Elephas maximus indicus: one gene and its partner. The protein of the gene in region 1 purifies or fractionates together with the protein of each later gene. This does not show direct contact. Links are inferred from orthologs where the notes say so. Each region holds a gene or a part of one and is shown on either strand. Other genes may lie near its edges.

Region 1 (10,380 bases):
GGTAGAAATGGTGTTTCTAGAAGCTAAGTAGCACAGGTTTCATGCATTTTCTAGTACGAGTTAAAGCAGATCTGGACAGGTTCCATAACTTGAAAAATTACGAGAAGAAAAAAAAATAATCTTTTATCTTCCCAGAAAGTCGCAATTCCTGCCTAATGTATTTTCCTTTGTAGAATATCAGCTAAGTTAGAGATAACACTGGGGATATTCTCTCACAGGTGCAAGTGCAAGGCCGTCAATCACTTTACAGCACCCCCACCCTTAAGCATTATTTGAACCACCACAAAGTGTTAAGTATTTCTTAGGTATAGCCAAAGATGTTAAGCTTTGTATTTCAGGAGCTACCATTTCAAAAAAGGAAACAAAAATTAAATTCAACTCCTTAATCAAACTTTCGGTAATTTTTTTCCGTCACAATGTGTTTCTGTCCTAGAAGAAACTAAATCGGGTTCCTCCCAAATGTATTCATCCTTCCCCTGACCTGACAAGTGTCCCCATCTCTACCTCTCTTGTTCTTCTCACTCACCTCACCATTAAACACCTAAGCTCTCCTGGTTCCTACTAAGTTGGCACGCAGACTTTCACTCTGATTGAACCAGGACTGAACCTGAGCAGAACCAGGTGCCCCTGAGTCAATTCTGACTCATGACAGTGCCATGTGTGTCAAAGTAAAACTGTGCTCCATAGTGTTTTCAATGACTGATTTTTCAGAAGTAGATTGCCAGCCCTTTCTTCCAATGGACTTCTGAGTAGACTTGAACCTCCAACCCTATGGTTAGGAGCCAACCATGTTAACCATCTGCACCACCCAGGGACTCCAAATCTGAGCACAGAAACCTCGTATCCCCAGGGATTACCCTGCTACATGATTCCTAAGAGATAACACAAGAGTTCAAAAGAACAAAGGCGGTGACAGTGTTACACAACTGTACACATTTGTCAAACCTCATCAAACTGTATGTTTAAAACTGATGAAATTTATTGTATGTAAATTATAGCTCAATAAAGCCCTTTTTTTTTTTTTTAAGAATGCATTCATTCAGCAAATAGTTATGTGGGTCAAAGTTCACACCAAATCTTCCAACTTGGACTATTTGGGTTTTACCGGCAGTGTGCTTTACTCATAAGCCAACACTGTCCCAAAAAGTCATGTTACATGAAAAATCATTCCGTTTCTGATCATAAATATCATCTTAATGTTGACCTCTACAGTGGAAGGGCCATTAGCTGCCCACCATCTCCCATTACCTAAATGACATCTTATGAAATCCGATAATTCTATATTCTAATACAAATGAGTCCATCACAAGCAAAAAATTTCTAAGCACATAGTGCATATAAGACATACTCCTACCACAGTCTTACATGTTTGTCTTTCTACTAAAAAACTCGAAAACCTCAGAAGCATACTGACAACATCGCTCAAAGAAAAGAAGCCAATGTTACTGGAGAATAGACTTAGCTGACTTTTTCTAAGGTCCACAGTAACCCAGAGGCTGAGTCACAGACTAGAAACTAAGTCTCCTGGTTCCCAAGGCAGTATGCAGAGTGGAAATAACCATGGACCTTAGAAACAGAGACGGGTTTGAACTGCAGCTCCACTTCTTCTTGGGAAAGTCACTTTGCCTTTCTGAACCTCAGGTTAGCTCGTCTGTAAAACTGGGATGCCAATGATATGAGAAATAAACCATCTAGCACAATTACTGGGCACACAGAAGGCAACTCAACAATATTAGCTCTCTTTCTTCAACTTAAATTATTTAAGACTAACACCTAATAACCAAGGAAAGCAAACTCACAAACTAGATTACCAATCGAAGGTCAACAATGAACCTGTATTTGCTTTGTCCACACTCCAGCCCCCTCCCCTTCTATCCCACTACTTCCAGTTTTTTAAACTTTAGTTACTATGTTTAGAAAAGTGATTTAATTTTAGAAACCTTGAAAATTCTTCTGAGTAAATCGACCAAAACCTTAATCTGCCCCAAGGGGAATTCTGAGCAAAATAATTATCTCTGACAAGCGAAGAATTTTCTATGGAGGTTATTCAATTTAACCACTCGAATGCCAACAATCCTGCACACAAAGTGATGGAAAGCAATCTAGAACATACTATCCGGGTTCTCCTTAAAGAAATATCCTCCTAACATCCAAACCCCTCCCTCCCTATCTGAGGCAGTAAAATCTTAGTGGGTGACCTCAACTCTCCCTGCTCTGACACAAGTCCTGCTCTCTAGGCCAGAGCTGCAGCAACTTGTATAGAAGTATCTCCAACAAACCCCACCCCTCAAAATATTCCCAAAAGGCAGGGAGGTCCAGGGAGTATTTTCTCTTCAAAGGACAGATAAGGCGCCAGGCGCTCAGAAGCACAATCCCTTCCCCAAGGTCATTCAAGTCAGTGAAGGTGCGAGGGAGAATCTGCAAGCAGTCTCTGGTCTCCTGGAGATCACACTGCAGGTTCTTTTGGGGTGCCTATCCTCTCCCCCTTCCCACCCTCAAGTGTGAGCACTGGCCTCGGCATTTCCGAAACAAGCCACAACAAGCACTGCAGTGTTAGGAAAGGGGCTGACGCGATGAAGAAACAGATGCTCCAAAGCAGCGAGATGGTCTTCCTCGGCTTGCAGAGTCTCCTCCCAGGTTATTAACCGAAACCGCAGGCACCTCAGAGAGCTCTCCACGGGGCTCCGAGCCCCCAACCCGACCACGCCGGGACGCCGGGCTCCCTGAAGGCCGCCTGGGCAGCCAGAGGCCACGGGCCCCAGAAACCTCACTTGGCTCCAGCGTTTGGGGAGCCACGGCCCCCTTCCCGGCGGCCGGGGGCGGGGTGCGCAGGAGGCGGGCGGCGCGCTGCGGAAAGTTGGCCGCGGCGGCGCGCGGGGGGCGGCCCGGGCCGGCTGGCCGCGTCCCCCTGCAGATTCCACCATTAATTAGTCCTCAGGACTGTCTACTGGCAACTTAAACAAAGCGAATGCCTCGCATTCCTTCCCGGCCCAGTGGTCTGGCTTCGAGCGCGGCATCGCTCGGGACACCGGCCCGCGCCGCCGACAGCTGCGCCCGCGGCGGGACCCCTCCCCGGCCCGCGCCCCCGCGCCCCCACAGCCCGTCCCGCACGCCGGCCGCCGCGCTCCCGGACCTCCCCCCCACTCCTCCTCCTCCTCCTCCTCCTCTCCTCCTCCTCCTCCTCGGGAGCTCCCGGCTCTTCCTGTATGATCACTTCCTTCCTCCCCGGTGCCCGCCGGGCCCCGCGCAGCCCCCTCCCCGGCGCCCCGGCCCCCCACCCGGCCGCGCCGCGCCGCTCCCCGCCCCCACCGGCCCGCGCCAGCGCACCGCTTCCCACGCGCGCCCCCGCAGCCGGCCCCGACCCTCGAAACTCTTCTGGGAGCCTCGCCCCCTGAAAACGTCTCCCCAGCTGCGCCCCCAGCATTTCTCTCCCACCGAGAAGTCCCCTCCGAACCTCCCTCCGCCTCCGAAAGAAAACCCCCTCGGATTCTCTTCCTCCAACTCCAGAAAAAACCTCCAGGTCTCGCCCCGAAGATTCCCCCTCAGCAGCTCGCCCCCATCTCCATCCAGAAAGCCGCTCACACTCTTATCCCACCCCCCAGCCGCGGCTCCCCCCCGGGTCGCCCCCCGGCTCTGCCCCGAAGCCCCCGGCCGCCCCGACCCCTCTGGCCGCCCTCCTCTCCCGCCGCACGCCCCGGCCGCCCGCGCCGCGCCCCCGACCAGCTCCCGCAGCCTCCCCGCGGACCCCTCACCTCCGCAGCTCCGGGCCGCGCTGGGCTCCGCGCTGGGCTCCGCGCTGGGCTCCCGGCGGCCGGCGCCTCCTCCGGCTCCCCCGGACTGACAATGAGGGGCGGGGCCAGGGCAACGTCAGGGACCGGGGGAGGGACCTGCTTAGAGGGGCGGGGCTTCCACAACGCCCCGCCCCCTCCGGCCTTCCTCCCCCTTACTTGGACTGGGAGAAGTTTTTATTGCCTAGGTGACCGGGGCCTGTGTTAGGCGCGAGGGGAAACAGAAACGGAAGGCAAGACACCCTGCTTTCGAAAGGGTGCTCTGATAGGGGGGTCATGAGGCTTCAGTGAGGTACTTCATGTAAAGGTGCTTAGCCCTGAGCCTATGGAAAAGGAACTCCGCTTGAACTCAGGAGCCATGACTTCCAGTTCCCAGAACAGCTATTAATTCGTTGTGACCCTAGAGGAGTCTCTTCCCATCTGTATTCCCCACTTATACCTTCATTAAACTGGGAAGGAGTGATGACTAGATGTTCTCAGAAGTCCGTCCAACAGAGGAAAGGAAAAGAAAAAAAAAAAATCCCTTCGATAGCTTTATGACATAGTTCCTGTGGGCCTACTATGTGCAAGGTACCTAGTGTCCAGAGAAGTGGGGGGAACCTTTGACGGGAGCCCAAGCGCCACACCCAGCAAGGTACAGGACACAGCAGGAGACACGCTCTCCCAGGCGGATGCCTTCCCACGCGCTCACTGGCACGGAGCGGCACTCACAAGCCAGGACACAGATGCGCTGACGGCGCTTGCTTTCCAACTGCAGCAGCATAGCTCATCTCTTGAGACATCTCTTGAAGGAATAAAGGCCAAAGTCTTGGTCCAGTCTGAGCGCTTCCTACTTTTCCAGATACACAGGCCATGCGCGCACACACACACACACGGAGTAAAGGTTAGCCAAACTTGCCCTAACACACCCACTGCTTTCCCACATTTCCCCCTTTGCTCATGATCTTCCCTTGCTTCTCATCTCCGTGTGCAGCTTCCTGGTTTCCCCAGCCAGAAGCCTACTCCCTGCTCCGAATGCCCCTTTGAATATTGGCAGTATCGCTTTTAAGGGCATAGTCACGCACGCTGCCCCAGTTTGTTCCTTAGCACTTCCTAGAGGTCAAAACTCACACATTTTTGTGGAGCTGGGGTTCTCCTGGCCCCTACTAGTTCTCTGTGATCCTCAGTCTCCTCACCCGCAAAATGGGCGTAATAATGTGGTCCTTATAGGGTTTGTTTTAAAATTACATAAGATGCTGTGTGGAAAGCACCAGGCACAGTGTTCCACAAAGGATGTCGTTGTTATTCTTATTTTCCTTAGTATTATTATCATCAGTACTATATCTAGCACTGAACACTACCCAGAAAACCCAGTGCGGTCGAGTGGATTCCGACTCATAGCGACCTTATAGGACAGAGTACACAGCAATAATTCACCCAATCATTTTGCAGAGGGAGATTTGGGGATCCTGAGAGAGGAAGAGGCTTGTAGCAAGCAGCCCTACCACACATTGCCGTTAGAACAGGAACCAGCACTGGAGACTCCAGGCCCCAGGTGAATTCTGCAGAGTCACATTTGATGCCCCAGAGTGCCTGTCACTCCGCACCCCTCCAAGTTGGGGACAGCTGCACAGCTCTCTCTCTGCAAGTTCTTTGCAGAAGAGCTGACCCGTTTCTCCTTCGTGCCTTTCTGCTCTCGCTTTCCTTACAGAGAAATGGATCTGGGTTAAACTGCCCTTGGCCTGTCTGCAGTCCTCTAGAAGAGCTGCAGTGAGGCACTGGGCGTTTCCAGAGCGCTGGCCTGTGGGAAGAGGGGAAGGGCTTTGGGGTTCTGATTAATTTCCTGCGCTGCGGACAGGCAAATGGTTGTCCTGAAATGCCTGGGCTGGTCCTCATGCGCCCCTAACAACGTGTGGCTTATTTTTAGAATAGAAGATTCAAAAAATGCCACTTGCCATGAAAAGTAGGCATGGCCACAGGATTGCTGCAGGCAAGGAAAGGGCCTTTAGGGAGTTCCTGCTATGTGCTGATGAGAACTCAGTATATACAAAAAACGTATATACAGGGAAGCATCTAAAGACAGAACTTTCTCCCCAGGACCCATGGCCCCATCAACTACTTAGTCATTCATTCACCACACATGCTTTGGCACACAACCCATCAGGATTAAAATCCCAGCTCCACCACTAACCAACTGTGTGGCCTTGGGCTTTCAAGTCTCTGAACCTCAGTTTATCCTCTGCAAAATGGGAGTACTCATAGAACCTACCTCACAGAGTGACTGTAAGGATTAAATAAAATAATGTGTGAAAGAGCTTAGCACAGAGCCTGGCATCTAGTTCATACCAAGATACGGTAGCTGCTGTGACATTTCAACACGTACTCCCAGTAAGGGCCTCCCATGTGCTGGCCTATGGGCTGCAAGTAGGGCTAAATGTCCTGCCCTCAAGCAGCTCAGTCAATAAAAGGAATGGGATAGATTGGTATAAATAGGCAAGAAAAGTTGTCTACTGGGTATTGTTAAGTGAAAAGAGTAAGTTTCAGAATGTAATGGGTAGTAGGAGCCCATGTTTATGACTTACATACGCTTAGTAAAAAAAAAAAAAAAAAAGGAGATTCATAAAAAAGTGGAGAATATAGAAATCTAAATAGAGGGACTTTCGCCCTTTTTCTTTGTGCTTTGCTTTTGTCTGTGTGTGTGTGTGTGTGTGTGTGTGTGTGTGTGTAGTAGAAACTTTCAAAACGGACTACTAAATGCTAAGAGGGAGGAAAGGGGATGAAAACATAGCTACAAGGCATATCAATAGTGGGCATCTGAGCTAAATATGCATACTGCCATAGGAAGTTCACAGGTTCCTCCCATTCCTCCTGGGATTCTAAGCACAGCCCCCACCCAAACAATTCTCACCTTCTCCCCCTACCCCATTATTTGGTTGCACTTGAACTTTCATGGCTAAACACCTAGCAGAACGTCCAGGAACTGTGTTGAGACCAATAGGAGAGATTTTTAAGCAGGAAGAATTTTTTGCTCCCTGTCTCATGCCCTGCCCCCACCTCCCAAAGTATAACAGTATATCAGCACCTTGTGCCTACTGCGCCTAGACTTGCACTTTCATTTTTACTCATTATATCTTCCTGCAATTTAAATTTTTTACAAGGAGCATGTATTTCTTTGTCATCAGAAAAAAAAAGCAGTAAAGATAAACATAAAAAGAAAGCCAACCAAGCCGATGTTGGTTCACCTTGATCAGTTTGAAGACAATACATAAGTTATAAACCTTTGCCATAGAGTCAATTTGGACTGAAGGCAATGCCGTGTGTTACAGAGTAGAACTGCTCCATAAGATTTTCTTGGCTGTAGTCTTTACGGAAGCAGATCACCAGGTCTTTCTTCCATGACACTGTTGTTTGGGTCGAACCACCAACCTTTAGGTTAGTAATTGAGTGCAAACCATTTGTACCACCAAGGGATGTCACTGTCAAGTTGCTGTTGAGTCAATTTTGACTCACAGTGACACTACAGAACAGAGTAGAACTGCTCTGTAGGGTTTCCAAGGAGTGGCTGGTGGATTTGAACTGTTAACCTTTTGGTTAGCAGCCAAATGCTTAACCACTGTGCCACCAAGGCTCCATATAGGCTATAAGGGGTCATTATTGGTATTTTGCAGCTGAGGACCCAAGGTTCAGAGAGGACAAGTCTAGTGGAATCCAAATCAAGACCTGTACAAGAAGTCCTGGAGGAAATGGGCTGAATTTGGAAGTGAATGAGCTATATACTCAGGCAGCCATTATTAGCCGGGTGGCCTTGGGCAAGTCACTGAACTCTTAACAACAGTTTCTCCACCTCTGCGGAGTAAGGGTACCCCAGGATATCTTATGCAAGTTAAGTGCTTTGTTTATATTTCATATTTTTTCAAGTGCAAGTATGTGTGGAACGAAATCTTTGGACTCTCATTCCTGCTTACCAGACTTTTGACATTGATTGCCTTACTATACCAAGTTGGTATCATTACTTGGTAATGCCAGTTGCTGAAACTGTTGGACTTTGCTTAATATTTATCACCTTTGAAATTGCTTTATTATACCAACTTGGTTATATTGCTTGGTAATTACGTACGCAAGACATTGACGTTGCTGGATTTTGTTTTATAGTAGTTGTTTTTCTACTGTTTACTTTGTCATATTATTTTTTGGATGGTTTTCCTCCATGATGGAGCTCTTCTTAAGTTTTCTTTTGTTGCTTTCCCTAATTCCCATCAACACTTGCAAAAAGAATGCGTTTGTCACTTTAGCCCAGGCAGTGGCCAGAGCTGGAACCCTAACTAATTGCTGGATCTGTCATTTCCATCCTCAATCTGGGCATGAGAATTCAGACCCATTAACCCGTCCTGTTAAATTGCAGTTTCCTACCTAATTGAGCTCATGAAGACACAGTATATAGATCAAGAGGGAGTTGTTCAGGCATAACAAGTAGATACTGCATGGTTTGAAGTCATGAAAGGTGTACATCAGGGTTGTATCCTTTCACCATTTTTATTCAATCTTTATGCTGACAAATAATCCAAGAAGCTGGACTATATGAAAAAGAACGTGGCATCAGGATTGGAGGAAGACTCATTAACAACCTGTGTTGTGCAGATCACACAACCTTGCTTGCCGAAAGTGAAGAGGACTCGAAGCACTTACTGATTAAGATCAAAGACTACAGCCTTCAGTGTGGATTATATCTCAACATAAAGAAAACAAAAATCCTCACAACTGGACCAATAAGCAACATCATGATAAAAGGAGAAAAGGATTTCATTTTACTTACATCCACAATCAACACCCATGGTTACAGCAGTCAAGAAATCAAATGATGCATTGCATTGGGCAAATCTGCTGCAAAAGACCTCTTTAAAGTGTTAAGAAGCAAAGATGTCACCTTGAAGACTAAGGTGCCCCTGACCCAAGCCATGGTGTTTTCAATCATTTCATATGCACACAGAAGCTGGATGATGAATAAGAAAGACCAAAGAACTGCCACTTTTGAATTGGGGTGTTGGTTAAAAATATTGAATATACCATGGACTGCCAAAAGAATGAACAAGTCTGTCTTGGAAGAAGTATAACCAGAATGCTCCTTGGAAGCAAGAATGGCGAAACTACGTCTCACATACTTTGGACATGTTATCAGGAGGGATCAGTCTCTGGAGAAGGGCATCACGCTTGGTAAAGTAGAAGTTCAGCGAAACAGAGGAAGACCCTCAATGAGACGGACTGACACAGTGGCTGCAACAATGGGCTCAGGCGAAACGATGATTGTAATGATGGCGCAGGATCAGGCAGTGTTTCATTCTCTCGTACATAGGGTCGCTATGAGTCAGAACTGACTCAATGGCACCTAACAACAACACGACAACCTAATGCTACTGTAAATTCTAATATTGCCTTTAAACAAGCCCTGCAAGTAAGATTATGGCATCCCCCTGGGCAGCCCACTCAACCTCAAGTACCACGTTTTAATTTAAGTCTTGTCCAGGAATATGAAATAGATTGCACAAAAATGCTAAATCTTTCTCAGAAAGGTTTAGAAAAATTCCTCAGGGGGTTGATTCAACAATGTAGACTTAATTCTAATTTCTCAGTCTCAAGCACTGGATTCCCTAGATATTTTGGAAAACTACCAAGCTCAACAGCAATAGATTTCCTGAAGAAAAATCAATCAAACCGCTTTTATGCCCAACGTAGGTTGGGACAGTTACCTATCTGCAACAGCTCCCTCACAAGCAAGTGGCTTGAACAAATAAATCAAACCATTCCTCTTCCAGAGAGTGATCCTGGAACTGGTATGACATTTGCCCCTTATAGATATGTGTTTTTATGTAGAGAATCAAATTACCCTGCCATCGAAGGACCAAACCCAAATAATGAAACTTAACCTTGGGCATTGCCCTGCCTAAATGGTTGGAGAATGAGAAGGCAATGCAACTTGAGTCTTTTAGGAGTTCATTTGGACATTCATTCTTACAATGAGAAAGTATGCGTTGGACAGATGACCTAAAGATATTAACCAGAGATATACCCCCCCAAAAAAACACAAACAAACAAACAAAAAATTTTTGTTTTTTGGGTAGATATAAGAGAGAAGTTGAATTGAACCCCCTAGTTGAAAGATCTGGAAAGGAATGGTCTTTTCTTTGGGCCTTTATATCAGTCCATGGTATTCACCAATTAGAGAAGGCTATCCATAACCTGTCCACTACTATGGAACAAATTGCAAATGACGCTGTAGACAGTCTTACAGCTCAATAAAAATCTTAAGAGTCTCTTGCTAGGTAATGCTAGACGATAGAATAGCTCTTGACTTTATCACGGCTCAACAGGGAGGCATCTGTGCCATTACCAATACCTCCTCTTGTTCTTGGATAAAGACTTTAGGAGAAGTGGAATGAGATTTAAAGAAAATTCACCAGAAGGCCACATGGCTCCTTATTCCCCCTAAGCCTGACTCTTCACTTTTAGGTATCTTCATTTTTTTCATTTGGTTCCCCAATGGCATTGGTTTTTGTGCTAAGTTCTATACTGCAAACTGGATTAATCAGGTTAATTGCTGTTATATTTATCCTAGGCC
Region 2 (10,116 bases), about 57 Mb from region 1:
TTTCAATTGTTTTGGGGGTGCCATTTTGGAAATGTGTAAGGGTATTCTGAGTTGTCGTAAAGATGGGGGAGCCTTTGGCATTTATGAGGAAGGAGCCAGGGATGTTGGATTTCCTAAATGCATGCAACCGTCCTGCCACCAATAATCGTCCTGCACACCTCATCCCCTGCACATGTTCCAAAGTCTCACTGGGCCATTTGTGTTGATGGAAAACTTATTTGTAATCATTTACATTTATAAAAGAAAACCCTGGTGGCATAGTGGTTAAGTGCTATGGCTGCTAAACAAAGGGTCGGCAGTTCGAATCCGCCAGGCACTCCTTGGAAACTCTGTGGGGCAGTTCTACTCTGTCCTATAGGGTTGCGATGAGTCAGAATCGACTGATGGCAATGCGTTCGTTTTTTTTTTTTTTAATTAATAAAAAGACATTGCTTAAAGGACAAATATTGTATACGACCACTATTATAAGATCTTGAGAAATAGTAAAAACTGAGAAGAACACATACTTTTGTGGTTACGAGGCGGGGAGGGAGGGAGGGAGGGAGAGGGTTTTTTATTGATTAATTAGTAGATAAGAACTGCTTTAGGTGAAGGGAAAGACAACACTCAATACAGGGAAGGTCAGCTCAATTGGACTGGACCAAAAGCAAAGAAGTTTCCGGGATAAAATGAATGCTTCAAAGGTCAGCGGAGCAAGGGCGGGGGTTTGGGGACCATGGTTTAAGGGGACTTCTAAGTCAATTGGCAAAATAATTCTATTATGAAAACATTCTGCATCCCACTTTGAAATGTGGCGTCTGGGGTCTTAAAAGCTAACAAGCGGCCATCTAAGATTCATCAATTGGTCTCAACCCACCTGGAGCAAAGGAGAATGAAGAACACCAAGGTCACACGACAACTATGAGCCCAAGAGACAGAAAGGGCCCCATGAACCAGAGACCTACATCATCCTGAGACCAGAAGAACTAGATGGTGCCCGGCCACATCCGATGACTGCCCTGACAGGGAGCACAACAGAGAACCCCTGGGGGAGCAGGAGATCAGTGGGATGCAGACCCCAAATTCTCATAAAAAGACCATACTTAATGGTCTGACTGAGACTAGAGGAATCCCGGCAGTCATGGTCCCCAAACCTTCTGTCAGCCCAGGACAGGAACCATCCCCGAAGACGACTCATCAGACATGAAAGGGACTGGACAGTGGGTAGGAGAGAGATGCTGATGAAGAGTGAGCTAATTATATCAGGTGGACACTTGAGACTGTGTTGGCATCTCCTGTCTGGAGAGGGGGTGGGAGGATAGGGAGAGTTGGAAGCTGGCAAAATTGTCACGAAAGGAGAGACTGGAAGGGCTGACTCCTTAGGGGGAGAGCAAGTGGGAGTACGGAGTAAGGTGTATATAAACTTATATGTGACAGACTGACTTGATTTGTAAACGTTCACTTGAAGCTCAATAAAAGTTAATAAAAAAAAAAAGACATTGCCTGACGTACCCACTCAAAGTATTTTTTTTCACTTTAAAAGATTATTTTTGACTAAATTTAGAGGTACAGAAAAGCTGCAAAGATATTACAGAGAGTTCCAGTCTACCCCGCATCCAGCTTCCCCCACGTTCACAGCTTACATCACCATGGTGCATCAGTCAGAGCTAAGAGAGAAACGTCGTGTGCTGGCGAGTCGATTCCGTGACAGAGCAGAACGGCCCCACAGGGTTTTCTAGGCTGTAATCTTTACGGGAGCAGATTGCCAGGCCTTTCTTCTACTCAGCTGCTGGGTGGATTTGAACCTCCAACATTTTGGTTAGCAGCTGAATGTTTAAACATCACACTACCGGGGTTCTATCAACTAAATGACTGAGTTGATGCAGATGCCATGATTTTCCAGTAATATCCTTTTTTTCTGCTCCAGAATCCAATTCAGGATCTCACATTACATTTAGTTTTGCACATTTTTAACATAAAGCAGTTTTGTCAGAGGAGCCTGTGCAGACGTGGGATCCTGGTACAGAAAAAGGATATCAGGAAAAAACAGAAATTCTGAATAAAGTATGGACTTGGGTTAATACTAATCTATCATTAGGCCATTGGTTGTGACAAAGAGCCCTAGTGGCACAGCGGTTAAGCACTTGGCTGCTAACAGAAAGGTTGGTGATTAGAACCCATCCAGCAGCTCCATGGAAGAAAGACCTGGCAATCTGCTTACTTAAAGACTGTTGTTGTTGTTGGGCACCATCAAGTCAGTTCCGACCCACAGCAACCCTGTGTACAACCAAATGAAACACTGCTTGGTCCTGTGCCATCCTCAGAATTGTCATTATGCTTGAGCCCATTGTTGCAGCCACTGTGTCAGTCCATCTCGTTGAGGGTCCTCCTCTTTTTTGTTGACCCTCTGGTTTACCAAGCATGATGTCCTTCTCCAGGAACTGATCCCTCCTGATAATGTCCAAAGTATGTGAAATGTAGTCTTGCCATCCTTGCTTCTAAGGAGCATTCTGACTGTACTTCATCCAAGACAGATTTGTTTGTTCTCTTGGCAGTCCGTGGTATATTCAATATTCTTTGCCAACACAATTCAAAGGTGTCAATTCTTCTTTGGTCTTCCTTATTCATTCTCCAGTTTTCACATTCATATGAGGTGACTGAAAATACCATGGCTTGGGTCAGGCACACCTTAGTCCTTAAAGTGACATCTTTGCTTTTTAATACAATGCGATGCATCCTTTGATTTCTTGACTGCTGCTTCCATGGGCGTTGATTATGGATCCAAGTAAAATGAAATCCTTGACAGCTTCAATCTTTTCTGTTTATCATGATGCTGCTTATCGGTCCAGTAGTGAGGACTTTTGTTTTCTTTATGTTGAGCTGTAATCCATACTGAAGGCTGTGGTCTTTGATTAGTAAGTGCCTGAAGTCTTCTTCACTTTCAGAAAGTAAGGTTGTGTCATCTGCATATCGCAGGTTGTTAATGAGTCTTCCTCTAATCCTGATGCCCTGTTCTTCTTCGTGTAGTCCAGCTTCTTGGATTATTTGCTCAGCATACAGATTGAATAAGAATACAACCCTGCCGTACACCTTTCCTGACTTTAAACCACACAGTATCCCCTTGTTCTGTTCAAAAGACTGCCTCTTGATCTATGTAAAGGTTCCTCATGAGCACAATGAAGTGTTCTGGAATTCCTATTCTTCACAATGTTATCCGTAGTTTGTTATGATCCACACAGTCAAATGCCTTTGCATAGTCAATAAAACACAGGTAAACATCCTTCTGGTGTTCTCTGCTCTCAGCCAGGATCCATCTGACATCAGCAATGATATCCCTGGTTCCACCCCCTCTTCTGGATCTGGCTTGAATTTCTGGAAGTTCCCTGTGGATGTACTGCTGCAACTGCTTTTGAATGATCTTCAGTAAAATTTTACTTGTGTGTGATCTTAATGATACTGTTTGATAATTTCTGCATTCTGTTGGATCATCTTTCTTGGGAATGGATACAAATACAGATCTCTTCCAGTCGGTTGGCCAGGAAGCTGTTTTCCAAATTTCTTGGCATAGATGAGTGAGCACTTCCAGGGCTGCATCTGTTTGTGGAAACATCTCAGTTGGTATTCTATCAATTCCTGAAGCCTTGTTTCTTGACAATGTCTTTGGCGCAGCTTGGAGTTCTTTAAGTACCATCGGTTCCTGATCATATGCTACCTCCTGAAATAGTTGAATGTTGACCAGTTCTTTTTGGTACAGTGACTCTGTGTATTCCTTCCATCTTCTTTTGATGCTTTCTGCAGTTTAGTATTTTCCCTGCAGAATCCTTCAATATTGCAACTTACGGCTTGAATTTTTTCTTCAGTTCTTTCAGCTTGAGAAATGCCAAGTGTGTTCTTTCCTTTTGGTTTTCTATCTCCAGGTCTTTTGCACATTTCATTATAATACTTTACTTTGTCTTCTCGAGTTGACCTTTGAAATCTTCTGTTCAGCTCTTTTACTTCATCATTTTTTCCTTTTGCTTTAGCTACTTGACATTCAAGAGCAAGTTGCAGAGTCTCTTCTGACATCCATTTTGGTCTTTTCTTTCTTTCCTTCCTTTTTAATGACCTCTTGCTTTCTTCATGCATGATTCCTTGATGTCATTCCACAACTCCCCTGGTGTTCCGCCGTTAGTGTTCAATGCATCAAATCTGTTCTTGAGATGGCCTCTAAATTCAGGTGGGATATACTCAAGGTCGTACTTTGGCTCTCATGGACTTAGTTCTAATTTTCTGCAGCTTCAACTTGAACTTGCATATGAGTAATGGATGGACTGTTCCATAGTCGGATCCTGGCCTTGTTCTGACTGATGATATCGAGCTTTTCCTTTGTTTCTTTCCACAGATGTAGTTGGTTTGATTCCTGCGTGTTCCATCTGGCGAGGTCCTTGTATATAGTCACCACTTATGTTGTTGAAAAAAGGTATACACAATGAAGAAGTCATTGGTCTTGCAAAATTCTATCATGTGATCCAGTGTCATTTCTATCACCAAGGCCATTTTTTCCAACTACCAATCCTTCTTCATTTCCAACTTTTGCATTCTTATCACCAGTAATTATCAATGTATCTTGATTGCATGTTTGATCAATTTCAGACTGCAGAAGTTGGTAAAATCTTCAACAGTTTAATCTTGGGCCTTAGTGGTTGGTGTGTAAATTTGAATAATAGTCGTATTAACTGGTCTTCTTTGCAGACAGATGGATATATATATATACATATATATATATGTTGGATATTATCCTATCACTGATAGTATTGTACTTCAGGATAGATCCTGAAATGTTCTTTTTATTGATGAATGTGACGCTATTCCTCTTGAATTTGTTATTTCTGGCATAGTAGACTTTGGCATAGTAGACCACGGCATAGTAGACCACAGGGTTGTCTGAGTCAAAGTGGCCAAAATGAATCCATTTCAGCTCACTAATGCCTAGGATATCGATGTTTATATGTTCCATCTCATTTTTCACAACTTCCAATTTTCCTAGATTCATACTTCGTACATTCAAGGTTCCGATTATTAATGGATGTTTGCAGCTGTTTCTTCTCATTTTGAGTCGTGCCACATCAGCAAATGAAGGTCCCGAAAGCTTGACTCCATCCACGGCATTAAGGTTGACTCTACTTTGAGGAGGCAGCTCTTCCCCAGTCGTCTTTTCAGTGCCTTCCAACCTGGGGGGCTCATCTTCCAGCACTATATCAGACACTGTTCTGGTGCTATTCGTAAGATTTTCATTGGCTAGTTTTTTTTCAGAAGTAGACTGCCAGGTCCTTCATCCTAGTCTGTCTTACTCTCGAAGCTCAGCTGAAACCTGTCCACCATAAATGACCCTGCTGATATTTGAATACCAGTGGCATAGTTTCTAGCATTACATCAACCTGCAAGTCCGCACAGTATGACAAACTGACATATGCGTGGGGGGCAATAAATGTTAGCTCTAATTATCAGTGAAAAAGGATCAGCGAAAAAGAGGAAGACGCTCAGTGAGATGGGTTGACAGTAGCTGCAACAATGGGCTCAAGCAACGACTGTGAGGATGGCGCGAGTCGGGGCAGTGTTTCATCCCATTGTATGTAGGGTCGCTATGAGTTGGAACCAACTCTACAGCACCTCACAACAATAACCTAATTATTTATCTTGAGATCAACAGAAGTCCCAGAAAGTTCCAGAAGCAATACTGGCAGCAGCTCACAGCAAAACTCCCCCTCATCCGACCGACCTCTCCATTTGCATTTATTTAGGTATTTAGAATGTAGATAATATTTTACAAGGGGCAAAGCTACAACACAGGGACGCATGCAGCACCAGGGTGCAGCCCAGGAGCAGCAGCGCGCACCTAGCCTGAGCTAGACCTCTGACTCAACGTACCTTGCGCGCGAGAAAGGAAGGACAAGGATCCAGGACTTGAGCATCCCGCCCTGCAGCTTCAGGACCCGGGTCAGGGAGGTGGGCGGGGCGGTCCAGGGTCCGGAAGTCAGCATTACTTCCGTCACCTTGACCAGCGTTCCTTTTAGCCAATCAGCTGCGGGAAGGCGAGCCCATCGACCAATGGCGAAGCCGCCCCTGGGAGCGAGGGGCACGAACGGCGTTTGCGCGAACCAATGGGGGTTGGGTATCCGCGTTCCGGGGCCGGGCATTGGCGGACGCGGTGACGTCGGCGCGTCACCGCGGTCGAGGCTGGGGAGCCGGGGACAGCGAAGGCGGCGGCCAGCGCGGCGGCGGAGCAGCCGGGGCTCGGGGCCGCAGAGGGTGTGGAGCGGACCCGGTGCGAGGCCAGCGGGCTGGGCAGGGGCTGGGGCGTCGCGTGAGGATCCTTGGAAGACAGGGGGACAGAGAGGCTCTGGGGCGGCTTGGCTTGGGGACCTCTTGGGTGACCGGGCCGGAGAATGGGCTTGCTCCGTGCCTGCGAGGGGCGTGGCGGACGCGGGAACGCTTGAGGAGGAACGTCGGGGGTCGGGAGACAGGGGTGTTCCTAGGGGACCCTTGGAGCCAGCCCTTGGAGGTTGTGCTGGGGCTGGGGACATGGGGGGCGGGGTGGAGGTCGAGGGGGAGACTCACTGTGGCCCTTTTGCAGGGGGAATGGAGGGGCCAAAGGGGGGCCCGCCTGGGGTCTGGGGAGACTGGGCTGGGGGGACCTTCCATCCATGGGGGAGGTTCTTTGGAGCAGGGAGGAGGAAGCGGTTACCTAGTCTTTCTAGAACAGTGGAAGTGGGGTGCAAGAGTGGGTAGGGGGCTTGCAGCAGCTTGGAAGCCATTATCCGGAGCCGGGGAAGTCAGGTTGGGGGATCAGTGGTTACGGCCTGGGGTCCTAATGAAGGGGTGGGTGGTTGGAAGCCACCAGCTACTCAGCTGGAGAAAAGCCTTTGTGATCTACACCAGTAAAGATGACAGCCGAGGAAACCCTGTGGAGCAGTTCTTCTCTGTCACATGGGGTCACTATGGGTTGGAGTCTTTTGGATGGCACCTACCAACAAGAGAATGGGGGGGTACCTCTCTGAGGAGGGTCTTAGGTGTGTGGGGGTGGATCAGGTAAGGGTGAGGCAGGGTTAAGGTAGCTGATGGGCTTGGAGATGGCGGTCTCTTGGGAGAAGAACTTACACGAGGAGGCTAGCAGTGAGTAAGGGTGCCCTCGGAGTGGGGGTGGGAAGAGTAGGGGGAACGTTCTGGAATGAGCAGTTGAGAGAAGTCTAGGAGGAAGATGTAGAGAAAGAGATACTGGAGCAGTGGGGGCGGGGGCGGTGCTGAGAGCACTGTGCATAGGAGGGCTGCGTGGACAGAGGTGGTAGGTAGGGGCTCATACCAACCTTGTTGGGAGTGGTTAAGATGTCAGTGAGGTGACACATGAAAGTACCCTGCCCACTGAACTGTCAGGGTCCGATGGACCCCATGGATAACAGAACGGAACTCTGCTCTGTCCTGAGCCATCCCCATGGTGGGCTGCAGATCGGACCATTGCGATCCAGAGGGTATTCATGGGTTGATTTTCACAAGTCTATCTGCAGGCCTTTCTTCCTTGTCTTTCTCAGTCTGGAAGCTCTAGTGAGCTTCAGCGGAAGGAGATGAGGCTGGTGTTTGACGCAATGGCTGTTTCCCTGTCTCCTCCAGGGTCACGGTGAGGGGGCATCCCTCAGGTCCTGTCTCCAGGCCTCTGCGACTGGGTGTTCACTGGAGCAGAAGCCGCTGGAAGGCAGAGCCACCGCCATGTCTACATTCAGGCAGGAAGACGTGGAGGACCACTATGAGATGGGGGAGGAACTGGGCAGGTGAGCAGTCAGAGGGGCCTGGGTGAAGGGGAAGAGGAGAGGGGGGATTTCCTGTCCTTATCCGACTCCTCAAGAAGAAATGAGTCAGCATCATGCACTGGTGGAGCAAGGCCAGGTGTTGGAGTCAGATGGTCCTGGCTGTGAATTCTTGCTGGGACATTGCTGTGCCTGTCTTCTGGGGAGAAATGGAATCGGGTATAGATAGCACCTAACACAGTGCCTGGCACAGGGTTGTCGTTAGATGCCACTGAGTCGATTCCGACTCATAGTGACAGAGTGGAGCTTCTCCCCAGAGTTTCCCAGGCTATAATCTTTATGGGAGAAGATCGCCAGGTTTTAGTCCTGTGGAGCCTCTGGGTGGGTTTGAACTGCATACAGTAGGAGAGTGATAAAGCCAGTTGCTGTTGAATTGACTCTGACTCATGGTGACCCCACGTGGGTCAGAGTAGAACTGTGCTCCATACGGTTTTCAATGGCTGATTTTTTTGGAGTTAGATTGGCCAGGTCTTTCTTCCAAGGCTCCTCTAGGTGAATTCGAATTTCCAGCCTTTGGGTTAGCAGCTGAGTGCGCTCCCTGTTAGCACCACCCAGGGAGAGGGCAGTAGATGCTCACTATTTTCATTACTAAGGGTCCACCGTGTCTTCAGTCTTCTCACGTGGGAGACAGGGCACTCCAGAGCTCTCTGAGCTCTTACGTGTTTGAAGGGACAAGCCCCTGTCTGGACCCACACCCCTGCCCATTGTTTTGCATTCTTGTGGGGGAAAAGCTGAGATTTCCCATTCCAGCCAGGCAGCTGATTTCCTGTCTGGCTGGGCCCCCCACAGCAGCCAGGCACTGCCAGGCCCGCCTTCATTTTTGTGGCTTCTCCAACCTTATTTGGTGAGCTCGGCTGCTGGCCGGCCTTCCTGGAGCAGCCTCAGGCCAGCCCCATGATGTCACTGGAAGGGAATGTAAATAACTGAGCCGTGCGTCAGGGCTGTGCAGGTTTAGATCCTTCCCTTAGGACTTTCCTCCCCTAGAGGGGTAGAGAAGACAGCCCCGTTCCCATCCCCAACCGGAAAAATCTTAGACTTTATTGTTGAAAACGTATTAGGACCTTCTGCTGGAGGTCGGTGTTAGCCACTGTTGAGTTGGCCCCTGTCTCATGGCCACCACGTGCACAAGGGGCCAAAACGCTGCCTGGTCCTGCACCATCCTCACAGTCATTGTGATCTGCAGGGTTTTCATTGGCTGCTTTTTGGGAAGCAGATCGCCAGGCGTTTCTTCCTAGTGTGCCTTCGCCTGGGAGCTCTATGGAAACCTGTTCAGCATCCTGGCAACGTGCAAGCCTCCGCTGATGGATGGTGGCTGCACATCAGGTGCACTGGCCAGGAATCGAACCTGGGTCTCCCTCGTGGAGGCGAGAATTCTGCCCCTGAACCACCGATTTGTAGTGACCCCCATGTGACAGAGTAGAACTGTTCCATGGGGCTTCCTAGACTGTAATCTTCATGGGAGCGGATCACCAGGTCTTTCTACAGGGAGCCACTGGGTGGGTTTGAACCTGTAGCCTTTCAGTTAGCGCCAAGCACGAGCTGTTTGCACCACCTGTAGTTGTGTGCCGTCAAGTCCCTTCTGACTCATGCTGACCCCAGGTGACAGTAGAACTGCCCCATAGGGTCTTCTAGGCTGTAATCTTTATGGAAGCAGATTTCTCCTGTGCAGCCGCTGGGTGGGTTCCTTTCGGTTGGCAGTGGAGCATTCGCTGTTGCGCCACCAGGGCTCCTAGGGGGATGCTGAGCGTTTGGAAGAAGCACCTGAATGGGGTTGGAGGATGTACAGTTTCCTCTTCCGCCAGCAGGGGGCGTGTGTCCTGGGCTTTCTGCACAGAGGAGCTGGTCACTGGCCCACCCCCTGCCCACCTCCCCTCTCCCTGTCCCCCCGGTGCCCTGCAGCGGCCAGTTTGCCATCGTGCGGAAGTGCCGGCAGAAGGGCACCGGGAAGGAGTACGCTGCCAAGTTCATCAAGAAGCGCCGCCTGTCATCCAGCCGGCGGGGTGTGAGCCGCGAGGAGATCGAGCGGGAGGTGAACATCCTGCGGGAGATCCGGCACCCCAACATCATCACGCTGCACGACATCTTCGAGAACAAGACAGACGTGGTGCTCATCCTGGAGCTGGTCTCGGGCGGCGAGCTCTTCGACTTCCTGGCCGAGAAGGAATCTCTGACCGAGGATGAAGCCACCCAGTTCCTCAAGCAGATCCTGGATGGTGTCCACTACCTGCACTCCAAACGCATCGCCCACTTCGACCTCAAGGTGAGCCGCGGGCAGGGCACTGCCCCTTACGCTTCACCC

The links.
Region 2: the proteins of LUZP1 (region 1) and DAPK3 purify together in Homo sapiens (affinity purification with mass spectrometry; 3 studies listed by BioGRID and IntAct, with this or other methods). This does not show direct contact. The link is inferred for Elephas maximus indicus from reciprocal best matches to the Homo sapiens genes LUZP1 and DAPK3.

What each region holds. Positions count from the first base shown.
Region 1 is NC_064821.1:63,577,393-63,587,772, forward strand, and holds the start of LUZP1 (leucine zipper protein 1), read right to left. Parts: upstream 3,836-10,380; 5' UTR 3,753-3,835; intron 1-3,752.
Region 2 is NC_064821.1:7,016,716-7,026,831, reverse strand, and holds the start of DAPK3 (death-associated protein kinase 3), read left to right. Parts: upstream 1-6,174; 5' UTR 6,175-6,283; intron 6,284-7,623; 5' UTR 7,624-7,719; coding exon 7,720-7,781; intron 7,782-9,716; coding exon 9,717-10,077; intron 10,078-10,116. UniProt on the Homo sapiens protein: Serine/threonine kinase which is involved in the regulation of apoptosis, autophagy, transcription, translation and actin cytoskeleton reorganization. Involved in the regulation of smooth muscle contraction.